4 linked regions of the Saccharomyces cerevisiae S288C genome follow. The gene in region 2 interacts genetically with the main gene of each other region. Each region holds a gene or a part of one and is shown on either strand. Other genes may lie near its edges. The genes, in order: ARL3, COG8, MON2 and UME6.

What was found.
Region 1: mutations in COG8 (region 2) and ARL3 together harm fitness more than expected from each alone (negative genetic interaction), as found in Saccharomyces cerevisiae (7 studies listed by BioGRID, with this or other methods).
Region 3: mutations in COG8 (region 2) and MON2 together harm fitness more than expected from each alone (negative genetic interaction), as found in Saccharomyces cerevisiae (5 studies listed by BioGRID).
Region 4: mutations in COG8 (region 2) and UME6 together harm fitness more than expected from each alone (negative genetic interaction), as found in Saccharomyces cerevisiae (5 studies listed by BioGRID, with this or other methods).

What each region holds. Positions count from the first base shown.
Region 1 is NC_001148.4:458,063-461,107, forward strand, and holds ARL3 (Arf family GTPase ARL3), read left to right. Parts: upstream 1-1,900; coding exon 1,901-2,497; downstream 2,498-3,045. Other genes in the region: KTR6 (putative mannosyltransferase), read right to left, coding at 1-396; mannosyltransferase complex subunit MNN9, read right to left, coding at 2,717-3,045. UniProt on the Saccharomyces cerevisiae protein: Involved in the targeting of ARL1 to the Golgi. Can bind and hydrolyze GTP.
Region 2 is NC_001145.3:129,193-133,518, forward strand, and holds COG8 (Golgi transport complex subunit COG8), read right to left. Parts: upstream 2,381-4,326; coding exon 557-2,380; downstream 1-556. Other genes in the region: TCB3 (Tcb3p), read right to left, coding at 1-175; DAK1 (dihydroxyacetone kinase), read left to right, coding at 4,283-4,326. UniProt on the Saccharomyces cerevisiae protein: Acts as a component of the peripheral membrane COG complex that is involved in intra-Golgi protein trafficking.
Region 3 is NC_001146.8:71,173-78,106, forward strand, and holds MON2 (Mon2p), read right to left. Parts: upstream 5,412-6,934; coding exon 501-5,411; downstream 1-500. Other genes in the region: serine/threonine protein kinase CLA4, read left to right, coding at 1-271; MRX6 (Mrx6p), read left to right, coding at 5,774-6,934. UniProt on the Saccharomyces cerevisiae protein: Required for traffic between late Golgi and early endosomes. Required for endocytosis and maintenance of vacuolar structure.
Region 4 is NC_001136.10:864,463-869,174, reverse strand, and holds UME6 (DNA-binding transcriptional regulator UME6), read left to right. Parts: upstream 1-1,652; coding exon 1,653-4,163; downstream 4,164-4,712. Other genes in the region: MSS4 (1-phosphatidylinositol-4-phosphate 5-kinase), read right to left, coding at 1-951; EBS1 (Ebs1p), read right to left, coding at 4,467-4,712. UniProt on the Saccharomyces cerevisiae protein: Component of the RPD3C(L) histone deacetylase complex (HDAC) responsible for the deacetylation of lysine residues on the N-terminal part of the core histones (H2A, H2B, H3 and H4).

The sequences.
Region 1 (3,045 bases), on a different chromosome or scaffold from region 2:
GGTCATGGAATCCCTTTCAGTAATTAGTGAGACAAAGCACGCCTTTGGTGGTGATCCTCTATGATTGATATACGATGGCACCATGAACCCTAGCGTCGTTTCATTACCACCATAAGATTTGATCTTTTCCTTAATGGCATTCACGGTGGCATTTCTAATGGCCTCTCCCTCTAAAGATTGCTTCAATTCGGCTTCTTCCTGTTCACTTTGTATACGCCTTTGTTCCTCTGCACTAATTTTTGCAATAGGTTGCAAAGATTTCGGAAGGTATGGTGTAACATACTGTTCAGACATCTGCTTTGTTTTTGGATGATTTATTGTCACCATTAGCGCAAGCACGAAAACAAACGAAATCAACAGAAAGCGTGCTATTTTTTTGCTCAGCAGTACGTGCATCTTACCTTATCTTATCTTCACTAAAGGGCACAAAAGGTTGGGTGAACGCTTAGTATCCCTCTAGTCTTGTATACTCGTACACATTATAAGTACATTTAACAAATCTCATCCACATTTCTCGAATAAATATCACATGTAACTTGAAGGTTATTTTTATATTTTTTTTTCCTGTGAAGGAACAACTCGTGTCTCACGAGAGCGCCACTTAAAAAACGAAAAGATAATCGGCGATGACTATATATGTATGTGATTGAGAATAAAAATATGGAAAGATAAAAGACCTAGTAACGTTGTATTTCAATAGTGAGGATAACATAAAGAAGTAAAAAGATCTTTGAAAATGTATGAAGTAATACAGAAAAGGAAAACAAAAATAATAAACGTTTTACAGAGTCCTGAACTCATGAGGCTCATAGAGGACCCATCAAATCTGGGTATTTCTTTACATTTTCCAGTAAGTTCACTGCTAAAAAGTAATAAGTGCACACCAATGCCTAAACTTTCTACGTATAGTTTGGCTAGTGGGGGATTTAAGGATTGGTGCGCGTGACATCCCTCTAGACGTTCCACCAGAGATTGATATCATCGATTTTTACTGGGATGTTATTTTATGCATGGAATCTCAATTCATATTAGATTACAATGTTCCGTCAAAAAATAAGGGGAACAATCAGAAGTCTGTTGCTAAGCTGTTGAAAAATAAGCTTGTAAACGATATGAAAACTACGTTAAAAAGACTAATTTATAATGAAAATACCAAGCAATATAAAAATAATAATAGCCACGATGGTTACAATTGGAGAAAACTAGGCTCGCAGTATTTCATACTGTATCTTCCCCTATTTACGCAGGAACTGATTTGGTGTAAACTTAATGAAAACTATTTCCATGTTGTATTACCATCTTTACTGAATAGTAGGAACGTTCATGATAACCACAGTACCTATATAAATAAAGATTGGTTACTTGCCCTTTTAGAGCTAACTTCCAACCTGAACCAAAACTTCAAATTCGAATACATGAAATTGAGATTGTATATTTTAAGAGATGATTTAATTAATAATGGTTTGGATCTTTTGAAAAATCTTAACTGGGTCGGTGGGAAACTGATTAAAAATGAAGATAGAGAAGTCTTGTTGAACTCGACCGATTTAGCTACGGATTCTATTTCTCATTTATTAGGTGATGAAAACTTTGTTATTTTAGAGTTTGAATGCTAAGCAGTTATATTCAGTTAGAAGCATATATCCCACCATTAAATAAGTTAACATACTACTGCATTTTTATTTTATGTTTAAGAGCAGATACGTCAATGTAGCTTGCATATGTACGTATCCTCCCCCACCTCCTATTTTCTACTTTGAACTTTATGGGAGTGTTAGTATAAGAAATATGTTTACACCTTTTTCAGACAAATGTAAACGGAAAATTAAAAAACGAATTCAGATCGATGTGTTAATCAAGTAGATGAAGGAGAATAAAGCATATAAAGCGCACCGCACACATGTTTCATTTAGTCAAGGGACTTTACAATAATTGGAATAAAAAGGAACAATATTCAATTCTAATATTAGGTCTAGACAATGCAGGCAAAACGACGTTCTTGGAGACATTGAAAAAGGAATACTCTCTGGCGTTCAAAGCCTTGGAAAAGATACAGCCTACGGTAGGACAAAATGTGGCGACAATACCCGTTGACAGTAAACAGATCTTGAAGTTTTGGGATGTAGGTGGTCAAGAATCACTGAGATCAATGTGGTCCGAATACTATTCCCTATGTCATGGTATAATTTTCATTGTGGATAGTTCAGATAGAGAACGATTAGACGAATGTTCCACGACCCTACAGTCAGTTGTAATGGATGAAGAAATTGAAGGTGTACCCATCTTGATGCTGGCCAATAAACAAGATAGACAAGATAGAATGGAAGTACAAGATATAAAAGAAGTATTTAATAAGATTGCGGAACATATAAGCGCTAGAGATAGTAGGGTTTTACCAATAAGCGCATTGACTGGAGAAGGTGTTAAAGACGCTATAGAATGGATGATTGTTAGACTAGAAAGGAATAAAAAGTCAAGACCACCGATTTATAAATGATAAAGAAGCACCAAAAGAAATAAAATGTGAATGGTTTATTCTCAAGCTCAGAAATTAGTTGTTGTAGCACTTTTTATTCGGCATTTTTTAATATACATGTGTAAATTATATATATATATATATGAATATATATCTTGTTTTGTTTATTTTCAACTAATAATCGCAACAATATTATCTTTCAATAACGCTATAGCTTCTGTATGCTTTTTGCTCAGTTGCTCAATGGTTCTCTTCCTCTATGTGATAAACCAAATAGTTTGGTAAGCCAAATACATCGTAGTTTAATCTCTTCGCCATCTTAGCAAAACCTTCTGTTTCAATCAAGTGATAAAATGGGAAATTAGGGAACATGGCACCGTCTCTGTGAACTTCTGCTTTGACCAAAGTACAGCCTCCACCAACACCATCCAGCGCCATCTCTTCACCTGGTACGCCATTAGCATCGTAGAAATGAGCCATTAATGGCCTATAAGTGGCAATTTCTGCATAACCCTCGACAATAATCTCGTCATCACCCATCTGAGAGGCTATTTCTAAACCGGTGTCAC
Region 2 (4,326 bases):
CGTCATGGTTAATCAGTTGGTGGTATTGATGGTGACCCGATGGAGCGTGATCAGAACCCCTTTCTTGTTGATTTATGACCTTTTGAGGTAAATTGCCTCCTACTTTCTTCTTCTCCTCCTCATGAAATAGGGTACTATCAGGTGGGGGATGGACTTGAGCTTTGATGCCAGTCATTTTTCTTGACTTTCAATGCGTAGCTCTACTTATTTTCTTTCTAGCAATATTGCGTATGTCAATAAACAAAGCTAGCTAATGATGCTCTTTATATTGTTAAGAAGAAAACTGATTAAATTAAGTAACGCTAAAAAGCAAAGTTGTCTATCAAAGTGAAATGTATCGCAATTGGAAAAGGTAAGTGCAATTCTAAAGGATGTAAGGTACAATTATCCCTTTTTCCCTTTCTGACTGCAGCAGTGTGTTGTAAAGGTATACATACATTCTCGTATTGTTGTTTCTCCCCCTTCTCGCGCTGGCGAAGAAGTGAAAAAAAAAAATAAAAAAATGGAAATTTCGGACGATCGTCATTTTGAAAATACATAGTGAGCCAATATTATACTAGGAGTATATATATTTAGAGGCCAGTTCTGCTCTCTTGTCAATTGCCCGGGCGAGCTGCTCGGTCGTAAACAAGCTAGTGTCATTGATTTTTTTTAGGAAGAGGTGGTGGTAGTTTCGATTCAGGTCGCAAAGACGGAATGAACAGTACACCAACTGCAGGCAAACGGAGTCACTCAGCTTGATGCTATTTAACCCACGAGTGAGGTCTTTTAATACGTATGTTATGCACTTATCAACGAATTGCAACATGACTGCATTTGTAGGTATTTTGTTTTCCCTTTTTGAAGTCCGAATCTTTTTGCTTGGCTCCTCTGGGGTCACTTCAACCTTATTAATTTCTTCTTCTTCTTTTTCTGCCTTGTTATCTATGCTTTTGCTTGGCTCTTCTGGGGTCACCTCAACCTTATTAATTTCTTCTTCCTCTTTTTCTGCCTTGTTATCTTTGGTATTTACTTCTTCCTCTTTTTCTTTTTCAGCCTTGTCTTCTGTTTTGTTTACTGTTTCATTTTCTATCTCATTTTCTGTTTTCCTTTCTGCTCCATCATCTTCGCCTTCCACTTTGCCTTGTACTTCCTCTTGTACATCTTCTATCGATTTATTTTCTGTCACATCTTCTTCATTGTTCGCTACGCTATCTTGTTTTTGATATTCTTCCTTCTTTGTTTCTTTCTCCTTTTCTTCAATTTCTTTCTCTTCGTTAGTCCCATTTATCCTTAGCACAGTACTTTCTAGTTCCTCTGGGAAAGGAATCTCTAAGTCATTTGTATCATACAAGAAGCTTTTCAGAAAGACATTCAAGGACATGTAGACATGTTCCCTGAGGACTTCAATTTTCCTCTTAACCATCATTTCAATTAAAGATTCATTAGAAGACTCAACGTCCAAAGGATATGATGCTATTTCATCGGTAATGAATTTGTATCTCATGGCTAAAAACACACTTAATAATGATTTATTAGTCTTTCCATCAAATGGTGGAATTGAATTCAAGTACTGTAGTATTTTCTTTAGTGAGTTTACTGATACATTAGTAGACAGTAATTTTACCAGCCCGGATAACATGGTAGTACTAATTTCGTTTAAAACTTTTTCGCAAACTTCATCCACAATGGTTGAACCAGGGAATCTTGACCTCAGGGAAGTAGTGTGTGTGTATAGCATGACGGCCTCCTGGTAATGACCTGTTCTGATACATGTGCGGGCCAAAAATGGTAGTTCCATCAAATCCGTAATGCTATCCAAATTTTCTAGTACAGTGACTAATGTGTCAGATCTAATGTCGTCCTTGTCATCTTCTTTAGTTGAAATTCTGTTTCTTAACCTACTTAATGCCTTGTGAAACTCATCCTCCTTCTTCTTTCTTGCCAGATTGTTACTCTCAGTCGTCATGATGCGACCTGTGTCGTTGTCTTCTTTATCGTCTTCCAAAAAGTCATCAATAGAAACGCTTTCATTGTTTATATCGTCATTTGTAACGTTTCGATCGGCTGCCTTATTAATATTAGTATCCAATTCCCATAATTGCTCCAAAGACTTGGCTATATCATCCAATTGAGCCCTATCATCGTTTTCAAGAATATTTCCGATAATCTGAGACGTATTATCTAGTAGTGTTTTCCTTATCTTTCTATCAAGGGCAGATAATTCAGCATCAATTTCTGCTATGTCTTCAGTTATGCTACCAGGAACAGCCCTAGATGAAAAATAACTTTCATAGTCTTTCGTGTTAGATTGTAGGATATCCTGTAGGAAATCAAGACTTAACCGTTTTTGTTCCTCTGTTAAATCATCAGAAATGAGGCTGTTTAGTATCAGCTCCATTTTACTCAATGATTATGTTTATTGTTGAAATATGTTCCCTCAAATGTCCTAACACTTCTATGATTATTTTTTCTGTGCTTCTCTTTTCAGTATGTTACTACGCTATATTTTTAGACATTGAAGCCATGATCGCGAGATCGATCTAATGTACGTATAAAAAGAAAATGGACTTCAAGAGTACAACTAACTAAAGGAAAATCCAACTCTTCCTATAAATTTAGAATTAGCATATTCAAAAAAGAAGAAACAAAGCACTCACGATGGGGGTCGAACCCATAATCTTCTGATTAGAAGTCAGACGCGTTGCCATTACGCCACGCGAGCTAAATTTCTTGAATTGTTGGGTAAACAAATATTACTAATACAAATGTTATTAGAAACCAAAAATGCACTTTTCCGGGGTTAATATATATGATTGAGTGATGGATGAAGAATGAGATAATTGTTTAAATTCTATAGTTGTCAAGCGCTGTGATACCAGATACACAAAATGTACTAGAGGTTCTCCTCGAGAATATGAAAATCCACAATAGAGAACCGATATTTCTGTGTAGGAATATTATTATTTCTTCTTTCATTTTGTATGTTCTCGTTCATTTTCCTAGCACATTATCAACCCTTTCATTTCAATTTCCATTAAAATTGGTGACTGTTTCTCAATATTTATTTGACCGTCTTATACCCAATATGGTAATATACCAGTAATATAAATACTAGTCGTTAGATGATAGTTGCTTCTTATTCCGAAAATGAGTATGGAAGTGTTGCATATGATAGGGCGGCTACAGTGATGGTAAACATAAGATACTTTAGCGGGAAATTAGCAACTGGAAGTTAAATTATCTAGACATAAGTGTGGCGGTCACGCTGAACGCAGGAGATCGGATAGATTGATAAGCTGATCAAGAACATTGATCGGTTTGTTGTTTAAAGAATGGTTTTTGAAAACGTTTGACCAGTTGCTTCTCCCAGACGCTTACCGATATGATGATAAAGATAATATCTTCAATTGAATACCCCGTGGATCAGCACGAATAACAGAAAAAAAGGGTGAAATTCACCGTAAGCATGATACGCACTACGTTCTTCTTACCTTTGCCAACGTGTTGTCTTTGACGTACGTAATTATGGGAGATCGTTGATGATTAGCCCCAGCTCACTTTCTTCTTAATGACTGACCCGCTACTATCAAAATTAAGGTGTCAAATATCATGATGAATGAGGTCTCTAGGCGACTCAATTATACATCTTTTAGAGATTTTTTTACTACTTGCAGATAATTTCTCAAGGGATTAGATTCAAATCTGGCTTGTCAATTACGCCCTTTTCAAGCTCATCAAATTGCGTATGTCATTCATGCTTCCATTAGGAACCATAGAAGCATGGCTGAAATGGCAATATACGGCTTCCCAATTTCAACTCTAAAGTAATGGCGGTCGAATTTAATCTATATTTTACAGTTTTATACGTACTTTAAAAGCAATCAGTAAACACCTCTGGTGCTATTCAAGGGTTTTTTGCCTTTATTTGTTACTGTCAATTGTCTGGCGCTGTGATAAAAAACAAGGCATAAAGCTCCCCCGTCATGAACATTAAGACTCGCTAGACGAGAGAGTGAAATATAATGCATTTCCTGATTTAAATGCGCTACAAACATGGTGTAAATCTGGCCCGGAGTGAGTGCTTGCCAATTTGGCTTCTAAGGGAGAAAGATCAAACCACTCCCAATTGCGTCATTTTGAAAGAGTGGCCACCTCGCGAGCGTCTGTCGAACTAACTGATGAATAAATATATAAGGAGAAAATCACTTCAACTTCGCTACAAGTAGTCACTATTTGTAGCAACTGTAAACGAACACATCAAAGAATAAGATTACATTCTATATCTAAGACTAAATTTTAAATGTCCGCTAAATCGTTTGAAGTCACAGATCCAGTCAATTCAAG
Region 3 (6,934 bases), on a different chromosome or scaffold from region 2:
TTTGGGTATCATGACCATTGAAATGCTGGAGGGTGAACCACCATATTTAAATGAAGATCCACTAAAGGCGTTGTACTTAATTGCAACTAATGGTACACCAAAGCTCAAGCATCCAGAAAGTTTGTCTTTAGAAATTAAACGCTTTCTAAGCGTTTGCCTTTGCGTAGATGTTAGATATAGGGCATCAACCGAAGAGCTTTTACACCACGGTTTTTTCAATATGGCATGTGATCCAAAGGATTTGACATCACTGTTGGAGTGGAAGGAATGAAGCACACAACTATTTCTATAAGCATATCATACATACTACAATCTTATGTATTTCTTTTCTTTTAGCTATGCATACCAATGGCATAATATATAAATACGTTCACCTTAAAAGTTTTTTTTTTAAAGTAAATAAAAAAAGACCTGCAACGATACAATAATCAATCCAATGTCGTTTAATATTACTATTTATCCTACGTGATTTTTAAAAATATTCGTCCATGCTTCAGCTTCTAGTCTAGTTTCGTAAATCCAAGTGATAATTCCAAAACTTTATCTTGGAGGCCATCCATTTTATGAGATACTGGGATGGTTCTTAAAATCAACGGACTTAATGTTTGTAGGTTTTCAACTCCAATTTGTTTGTTGCCAAGGGTCGAATTTTGATCTAGAACACCTCTTAAAATCACGCATAGCCCATTTAATAGAGTAGCTAGTTCTGTTTTACGCAATTTTGGTATTGGTGCTCGCCCAATCAAGTATTCATCTGAGATATATCTTCTAAGAGCAAGGGCAATTCTTGCAGAAAGATAAGGAGCAGTTAACTTTCTTAATTTCTCGTTTGTGTTCAACATAAAATTAACCAAATCTTGCAAGCACTCTAAAGAGCACTTATATTTTGTCTGAAAGCGAGGATTTGTGGTGGATCCAAATATACATGAAAAATCGAACGAAGATAGTTTTTGAGACAATTCAGAAAACGTACCACAGTCTTGCATCAAAGCATTTTCTAATTCATCGAATTCATATAAAAATGAACAATCCCAGACGGCATAAATGAAAGTGTCTAATTGCCTTTCATTGAAGAGATCAATGATTCTGTTTTCCAGCAATATCTCCCTATATTTGGAATACTCATTCAAATCGTCTATCTCGGTTAAATTATCGAGCTCTGGGTTGATTCTTTGTAATGTGACAACAATAACATTTATAAATAAATCACAAAAGTTATCCTTTAATGGATTTTCTGCATCTTCTTGGAGTGATTTGAAAATTTTGTTCGACAAATCACAGAAGCAATTGGAAGCAAGAACCCATATGGGGATTTCATCACTCTCTGACCCTGTAATAAGCGATTTTCGCTTGATGATTTCAGCCAAATTTTTCAATATTCTTAAAATATGCTTTGCTTTCAGTGTGGATATACCAAATTGATCTATTTTTGCTATTCTATTTCTCAGGTTAGAACATGACATATAGCTGATTGCCTCAAAAGTTGGTAACCTGTTAAGTGATGCTTTTGGAAGCTTTGGTCCAAGTTTTTTTGTTATTTTTTCCCTTGTATCAAAAGCCAATATCGATATTGTACTTAACTGGAGAAGAATCAAAATTTCTGTATCTTTAGAATCATTTGTCATAAATATATCAAGTCCAGACAATATGGCCTTTTGCATAGAGGACGGTTTAGTTTTGTCTTGGACAAACTCAGGTAAGAGAGGATATTTTATGGCAGAATTGAATAAAAGAAGAACTTTTTCCACAAATTCATCTGTCATCGCATCGTATTTCGATATTAATTGGTAAAGAGGAGGAAATCCGGTTATTAGTTCGTATATACAATCGTATTCAGTTTTGCTCGATGCGTTTGTGGAGAGATCACTGTACGTAATATTGTAGTCGGTAAATATTTCGCAGCACTTTTTCAATATATCTGATGGAACGTCCTCAATAGTGATGATTTCTTTCAGCAGGGTTTGATAATTTAATATTACAGCATTCTTGGTATTATTAGAAGTGGAAGACAACAATCTTTTCAAAAAATCTAATAACATTGACCATTCCTTGGCGCAGGTAGTGTTGTTTTTGAAGTCCTTAAAGTGTTCCGGATAAAGCTTAATTAATCCTTGCAATGTTACATTTATAAAATCAGTTTCATTTTCGAGTTCTTCAGTGGACCATTCCTTGGTAAGCAGTGGTTCAATAACCTCTAAGAAAATTAGGTCCCATGGGGGGAAGCAAACAGAATGGGAGTCGATGATTCTGAAAAAAGTCTGCACAGCACCGTTTTTAACTTCTACTCTATCATCATTAGTACAATTGATCAAATTTTTCAAAAGATATATCCATAATCCGTTGTAAAGTTCCCAATCATGAGATGAACTGGATGTAATGATTTCAATTAATTTTTGATTATTAATCTTTTCGGAGAGACTTCTACGTTTCTCATCACTTAAATTTAATGTTTCGGGATTGAAGCGGACTCTGAGATAATCTCCAACTAACCAGAACTGACTAATAGAAGAAAAGGAGATATTAAGATTTCGCTTCTGACTTACGAAATTGACAAGCGTATCAATAACGAATTTAATGACACTCATAGGTAAACTCTGTAAGAAATCATCAGAAATTAGTTTAAAAACATCGTATGACACTTGGATCATGTTCTTATGCTTCTGAACGATACCTTCAAATAAAGATGAATCATCTATATCCTCATTCACGGAAAAATCAGTATCCTCAACTGTCCACTCGAATGGTGAATTAATGATGTTGAAAATATTGGTCCAAGAGTTCATTAACAGTTCACCAAATTCGTTCAGAATCTCTTTTAAAGTTAGTAGCAATTGAAAAAGAATATCTGATTCAACATTGATCGTCCCATTGTATATTTCCTGCTTACCAATATCCAACTGTTTTATCGAGTTTATCGTTGCCATCAAGCTATCGATGACTAAGTTTTCCAATGTACCAAACTGTTTCACTTTATTATCTTGCTCATCGGAATTACCAACCTCATTAGTAGCCTTTTTGATGATATCTGTAAACACTCTCACTGTGTATAAACGTAAAGAATCGTTATCCATTTCACGGTTTGATATCAATTTGATCATATAGGTGGAAATCAAACTCCAAAGTTCTTTACCATTTTTTCCAAAGAGAAATTTTTTGCAATTATAAGTTGCCAGTTCACCAATTTTGTTAACAAAAAACGCCTTGTTGTAAATGCATGGTATAATTTCATCTTTTGCATCTAAAGGATGATAGCCAATGTCATTATTCAGGTTGAGGTTCGTTTGTTCTAAAGTGAGGGTATTTTTTGAGTCCAAAATTAATCTGGTTAATACCAAATGAAAAGTTGAGCAAGAATAGCTGCTTGTACTTTCAAAAAATTTCGTTAGAGAGCTTTCAATAGATGTAACGTCTGATTTAGTCAGTATTGGAGGTGGTGGAATATCTTCAGAGTAAAAGCTCTCTTTGAAATCTGCTGATGGACCATATATGTAGTAAGTTATCCATTGCCAGGTTAAAAAAGTGTACCTCCAGCTTTCTGAATCGAAAATAGGACCTAGTGATATTGATAATGATATTAATGCCCTTAGTAAACTAACTTGTCTTGAACTAATATTCCTGGGGTGCAAACGCCTTTTCATTTCCTTATTTTGCGCAGAATCTGCAATCGACCTACTTGGATTTTTTGTTGATTCTACGGGACTGGTCGTGACACTAGATGTGGATATATTTCTTGTATGTTGATTTTTTGCTGACTTACTTGTATCATTAAAAGAATATTGATTGGATGATGTAACGTTGTTTGTTATCAAAATCGAAAACAATTTCATGCATGCCCTTAATTTGTCCTTTAGTGACAGAACGCCGGCACTATGAGCTAATTTTTGAAAAGCTCTAACCACCAAGTGGAATATCGATGTCTCTAAGGAGGTCGAATATAAAAAGAGTTTGTTTAGCTCAAATAGGCCAGAAAACAGGCCGCTATAAACCTTTACAACTGTCGAATCATTTCCAGTTCCCTCTTCACGTTCTTTGTCCTCAATTTTCTTCTCTAGGGGAGAGCTTTCCAGAGCCGATTTGTTCAACCCCTCGCATAAGTGGTTACAGATGGTCAGAATTAATGATATAATGTAAGTAATATTAATGGACGGAGCGTTTGATTTGTCCAATAAATGCATAAACTTTGTTTTAACTGTAGAGTTTTCAGTAGTTATCAAGGGAGAATCCATTTTCTCGACTACTTTTGATGGCGCCAAGAAAGTAATATACTCTGGCGAATTTAATAAGACAATACATTCTTTCAAAAGATATTTGAACACATGTTTTTTATCTGGATAATTATCATAGTCCATATAGAGTGTATTGACGATTTCGGGGTCTTGTGATAAATCCTTGAAAAGTTCTAGAGATAGTACTCTTTGCCATCCACTTAAATTGGATTCGACAGATATGCCATGGATTAACAGCGACAAGATGACCTCTAATTCTAACTCGAGTATGCTTAGGTACTCTTTTCTTATCAACAACTTCAAACAACGACAACTCCTTACAGCGGTGGAGAAGTGTCTCGAAGAAGATATGCAACGTAGAAGCAATGGAATCGCCTTAACTCTCAGTAGATATTGTAAATCTTGGCATTCTAAAAGATTTTTCTGACTATTCTTCAAAATCGATTCAAGGATTTCCAGGCCATAGTCTATTGGGATGTCCCCAATGTCTAACAGCATCTCCTCGTCACTAACTGCCCCATTTGAGCTTATTTCATTTAATGAACAGATATTATCGAACAATTTGTTAGCATCGTATCTATAAACATTGACCTTAATTGACTCACTATTACTTATGAGGACTTCATATTGTTTATCATCCACTACAGATTCAATGGAAAGCCTATCAAATATTTCATCGATAAGCTGCTGTAAAGTGGCACTCGCAGTACCAACTACTACGGGTGCCTTATTAGGTACATGCAGCAGATTTGAGCAACACAGCAACAACTTCTTACAAAGCGGCCCATAGATGAACTTCCCGTATGTCTTAAAAAAAATGGGTACCACCTGTAAAACTTTTAATTGAATCTCCATCGCGAGATGAGTAGCCTCAATGAAGGCATCCAAAATTTCAGACAGCCGGCTTCGAGGAATAGATGGAACGGTTGACAGTCCCTGTAGGCATTGCATTGCCAGGGTCGTCATTTTAGCATTCCTTGATTGGCAAGCCAACACGAAAGGGAGTGCGAAATCCGGATGTCTTTCTAGCTCCTCAAAACTATGTACTCTTTTCAATATCTCAATGGATTTATCACTAGCATGGCGAATGGTTGAATTTCTTCTTTTCGATTCGGAAGATAAAGAACGCAATTCTGCTTCAAGTTGCCTTTGCATGGAGTCAAACCCTCCAGTGTTCATGGCCATATGAATGGTGTGTAACAGGTCAAGTTGGTTTACTTTCTTTGAAAATCACTTGTATTGCATACAGTCTACAGGCTTTATTTAGCTGGGCTTAGGTCACCTTAATTATTAACACGGACGATTTAAAGGTCATCCACGACGACCAGCCGGCTTTATCAGAAAGTGGGATAATGAAGACTTCGCAATGACTTTATGAAGAATAAGAGCAGGAGGTTTGAGGAAGTCTGCAACTCGATCTGAAGAGAGTATTTGTTAGCTGCTAGGACAATATTGGTATACCCCTTTAGTGTGCTCAATTTTTGGTGAAAGCAGACCGTATCATTAGATCATTGCAGAAGTAGTGAGATTTAGTCGTACGTTACGTCATGGAACACCAAGCACTTCGAAGGCTTGTACTGTACTGCCCCAATTTCATCCGACGTGGTGCTCTTAGGCAAAATATGACTAGAGTGAGCTGTAGACATATGTCAGGCAAGGGTGGAGGGAGAGATGAGAAAGGTGATTGCAATGAAGAAAAGGATTCTTCCAAAGATTTGGGGAGGGTACCGTCGAAGATGAAACGAGCATATGATGGTGAAACAGTTATTAAAGAGGGAGATTCGCATGCTGAGTCGCTAGCGCAGCAGGGAAAGCAGCCCACAGACCTCGCATATAACAGCAGATCGAAGATATCTGGTTCTAATTTGCATTTATTGGTTCCTAGAGTTGCGTCTACAGACTATATTTCGAATAAAGAGGTTCACACGGAGGGCCTGTTTGCCGGCTATCGACCCTTGTTTCTGGGGAACTCAGGTTTTCCGTCTGATGCAAGAAAGGGTAAAAACTTTCATGAGTTAGACGACGTTCTTCCCAATATACAGGTAGTGGACGCTTCCGAGAAAGATGGCAAACTCAATGTGCAGGAGATTATTGAGGACTTACAAAGAACAAGTTTGAGAGAAAGCATTCATAGTATGGAACAGTTACCATCTTCGCACAAACGTAAACCCGTAATACCGTGGGACGCATCTATAAGTGGCATGGTTTATAATGACATGCCTTTCAAATATGTGCCCAAAAATATTATTCTGAAAATGAAGCCATTTAAACTTTTGCGTATTGAGAGAAAAAGTCAAGCGAAGAATGCAAGAAAGCCTACTATGATAAAACTTCAGTTTCACAATCGAAGAATCAATGACACCCCAGAGTTAGTGAATTTATACCATAATAAATCCCGTTTGCACGAGTCACTTTACAATACAAAACCCCTTCAAGAATCTGGATATTCAAGTGCAAATACAAGTAAAAGACAGAAAATGTTAAAAGCAAGAAGCGACTTTGAACATAAACAGAAAAATTATGCATACAAACACACATTTATCAAAAATGATCAGGAACTGTTCCGCAATGAACTAACTAAGTTAAATAAGATACTTGCTAGAGAATTCAAAAAATTGACAAAGCTATCCATACATAATGAGTTCAAGAGAGAACACTTGCCCCTGGCCGTTTATGTGAGCAAATCAAAGGGCACAAAGAAACTGTTT
Region 4 (4,712 bases), on a different chromosome or scaffold from region 2:
AGCGTGATTATGGTTGGTGCCACGACTGTGTTGATAGTAGTGGTCATTCTCTGGCGGCAAAGAAGTGGTTGATTTGGATATCATATGATATTGCTTTGACTTTTGAGAAGGTTGTGGAAGTGGGTGAAGAGGCAAAGAAGTCATTGAGTGACTAATTTTAGTAGCAGAATTTGGTTTCATGCTGGTATCTCCATTGGCCAATTTTATTACATCTGAATCATCCATAGGTAGAATTTGAGAATGCTTGGAAGCGTGAAAGGGAATATTGGGCAGGTTTGAATCCTGAGTATTTCTTCTTTGCTTAATTGTCGTGGAAGTTGCTGTTACTGCCGATATTCTGGAAGATCGCCTCGAAACGCGCTTGTTTAGTAAAATATGATCGTCATTTAAGTCTTGTATATACGAATCTGTGTGAACAAGACTGGAATTGTCCAAATCCAAACAATTATTCGAGTTTAACGAGGGTGTTGTTATTTTCTTCGACTCCTTACCTTCGGGAAAACTATATTTCTGCATTTCCTTGTTACTAGTGCTATTTGGTCGGGGAGAAGTTATGGTGTTTGGATGATCATCATCCGTATTATTATTGCTGTTGTCATGCAAAGGATCAATTGATATTGAGTAGTTTCTCTTCACCAGCCTCGAATTATTTATTGTTGGGTTTAACTCTTCAATAGAGGTCGGAGTGGAAGACTCACCATCTGACAAGCGAGGACTTTCCATGTTTGACTCCGAATTCGATGAAGAATGGTAGCTAGTGTGATTATTGCGATCCTTTTTTATTCGATGGTTCGAATCCGGATTCGAATTCGAATTCGGCACCGAACGGTCTTGATGTCGCTCAATTATTGCAGAGTGCAATAGCGATGGTTCCTGTTCTGTTTTGCGACTGGTGGATGTTGTCAGATGTAGCGGTACAACTGAAGGAGGTTGTGATCGCAAGACTGACATGAGTTAGAAACTATTGATAGGGAAAAGCGATATAGGGCAACTGTCTCGGGGGGTGTAAACAGGTTTCGTACTCTCTTGCTTATGAATGTGCTACTTCTTGTTCCTATTTTTTGTTTCTGTCCTTGTTTTTTCTTTGCTTGTCCCTCCGTATTTGCTTCTTTGTTGTCACGCTTTTGTTATTTCCACCTCTATCTTTCCTCTCTGTCCCATTCCCCATCCATTCCTTTCTTTTTTTTTTTAACCTGTGTTTTGTTTTCCCAGAATGGGCGGCACGTTCTTATGTCCGTAAAAACGGATATACAAAAGCGACACGTCGTCTGAGGTGACACTCCACTCAACCCCACTTGCCCAAAACATGCATTGCTACAAGTAGTAGAGCGCAGTTTTTAAAGTCCATTGGTTGCACACGAAATCACGAGAATAATCACGAGAATAGAATGCACGTTGGATTTCGGGCATCCTATAATTGCCAAGACTGCGCTACTTCTCTTCTGTTTCGGTCCGGGTGACACGTCCGCCGTGCTTCAAGGCGCCTTTTCACCAATGCCAGGCGGAAACTGCCGCCGTCAAAAAGAAAAATGAAAAGAACATAGAGGACAAGGACAAGAGACCAGTGATCGTAAGAAGCGCCCACCTTCGCACAGCGCACAGGAACTAGGACACTACCGCACTCAAACCATTTGCATGGACCTTAACTCACGATGCTAGACAAGGCGCGCTCTCAAAGCAAACACATGGACGAATCTAATGCGGCTGCCTCTCTGCTTTCGATGGAAACAACCGCCAACAATCATCACTATTTGCACAATAAAACATCTCGTGCCACGCTGATGAATAGCAGCCAAGACGGCAAAAAACATGCAGAAGATGAAGTTAGTGATGGAGCTAACTCCCGCCATCCTACAATTTCCAGTGCTAGCATCGAATCTCTCAAGACAACCTACGATGAAAACCCTTTGCTTTCTATTATGAAATCGACATGTGCGCCCAACAACACTCCCGTGCATACTCCGTCTGGTTCGCCGAGTTTGAAAGTCCAAAGTGGCGGAGATATCAAAGACGATCCTAAGGAAAACGATACTACTACTACGACCAATACTACACTTCAAGATCGCCGTGACAGCGATAACGCTGTGCATGCTGCCGCCAGCCCACTCGCGCCTTCCAATACACCTTCGGATCCTAAGTCATTGTGCAATGGCCATGTCGCACAGGCTACAGACCCACAAATTTCCGGTGCTATTCAGCCGCAGTATACTGCAACCAACGAGGATGTTTTCCCTTACTCCTCCACCTCCACTAATAGTAACACTGCCACTACTACTATCGTCGCCGGCGCCAAAAAAAAAATACATTTGCCGCCACCACAAGCTCCAGCGGTTTCTTCCCCCGGTACCACCGCAGCAGGCTCGGGCGCGGGCACGGGCTCGGGCATCCGTTCCCGCACAGGATCGGATTTGCCGCTCATCATTACCAGCGCCAACAAGAACAACGGTAAGACTACCAATTCGCCTATGTCGATACTGAGCAGAAACAACAGTACCAACAACAACGACAATAATTCGATACAAAGCTCAGATTCGAGAGAATCCTCTAATAACAATGAGATTGGCGGGTATTTGCGCGGCGGAACTAAGCGCGGCGGCAGTCCATCTAACGACTCTCAGGTCCAGCATAATGTGCATGATGACCAATGTGCCGTGGGCGTGGCGCCCAGGAACTTCTATTTCAACAAGGATAGAGAGATAACAGACCCAAATGTAAAACTGGACGAGAACGAATCAAAAATCAACATATCGTTCTGGCTAAATTCGAAATACAGAGATGAGGCTTATTCTTTGAATGAATCATCCTCCAACAATGCTAGTTCAAACACGGATACGCCTACAAACTCTCGACATGCGAACACCAGCTCTTCCATTACCAGCAGAAACAATTTCCAGCATTTTAGGTTCAACCAAATACCTTCTCAACCTCCAACTTCCGCATCTTCGTTTACAAGCACAAACAACAACAACCCTCAACGGAACAATATCAATCGCGGTGAAGACCCGTTTGCCACTTCGTCAAGACCTTCTACTGGGTTTTTTTACGGCGATTTGCCGAATCGTAACAATAGAAATAGTCCCTTCCATACAAATGAACAATACATCCCACCACCTCCACCGAAATACATCAATTCTAAATTGGATGGATTGAGATCAAGATTATTGCTCGGTCCGAATTCTGCATCTTCATCTACCAAACTAGACGACGACTTGGGTACAGCAGCAGCAGTGCTATCAAACATGAGATCATCCCCATATAGAACTCATGATAAACCCATTTCCAATGTCAATGACATGAATAACACAAATGCGCTCGGTGTGCCGGCTAGTAGGCCTCATTCGTCATCTTTTCCATCAAAGGGTGTCTTAAGACCAATTCTGTTACGTATCCATAATTCCGAACAACAACCCATTTTCGAAAGCAACAATTCTACAGCTGTTTTTGATGAAGACCAGGACCAAAATCAAGACTTGTCTCCTTACCATTTAAATCTAAACTCTAAAAAGGTTTTAGATCCCACTTTTGAGTCAAGGACAAGGCAAGTTACTTGGAATAAGAATGGTAAGCGAATAGACAGACGCCTTTCTGCTCCAGAACAACAACAGCAACTGGAAGTTCCACCATTGAAAAAATCGAGAAGGTCAGTTGGAAACGCAAGAGTAGCAAGCCAAACCAATAGCGATTATAATTCTCTTGGCGAATCCTCAACTTCGTCAGCTCCATCGTCTCCATCTTTGAAGGCTTCTTCTGGCTTGGCATATACCGCTGATTATCCTAACGCTACTTCGCCGGATTTCGCTAAATCTAAAGGAAAAAATGTCAAGCCTAAGGCAAAATCAAAGGCGAAACAGTCATCAAAGAAAAGACCAAATAATACTACTTCGAAATCAAAAGCAAACAATTCTCAAGAATCGAATAATGCTACTTCCTCAACGTCTCAAGGTACAAGGTCCCGTACTGGTTGCTGGATTTGTAGATTAAGGAAAAAGAAGTGTACCGAGGAAAGACCGCACTGTTTCAACTGTGAAAGGTTGAAATTGGACTGTCACTATGACGCGTTCAAACCAGATTTTGTATCTGATCCAAAGAAAAAACAGATGAAACTGGAGGAAATCAAGAAAAAAACAAAAGAGGCCAAAAGAAGAGCAATGAAAAAAAAATAAAAGCTCACTGAAAAAAAAAAAGAGATATTGTTACTATTATTATTATTATTACTGTCATTAATACTATACTAATAAAGAAAAGGAAAATACGCATAATAATATTTAATTAACAATAATATAACATATATATATATATATATATATGTATGTACTACCATGTAATTTCAAAGACTTTCAAAAGAAGTTATACGTCAATTCTCGTGTACAAATCAGTCAAACTGTAATTCATTCGTACTGATAAGCCAAATTTCTACCTAGTATTCATATGAAGATTTGAAAAACTATGATAAAAAACGAACAATATTAAAACATATTATTCCGACTGTTTCCCCTCATGCTGTCCGTGTTGCTTTGGGCGTCAAAAGGAAATTGCATGTACTTCCCCACATCTTGCTGCATAGGTTGTTGAAACATTTGCCGTTGCGCTTGCGCATATGCTGACGACGGCGCAGATGTCTGGTACTGGTCACCTAGCCACGTTGGATTTGCAAAATTCATTGACTTTAATGAGTAAGCTTCGCTCTGCCATTGTAAATTTTGTGCATTATA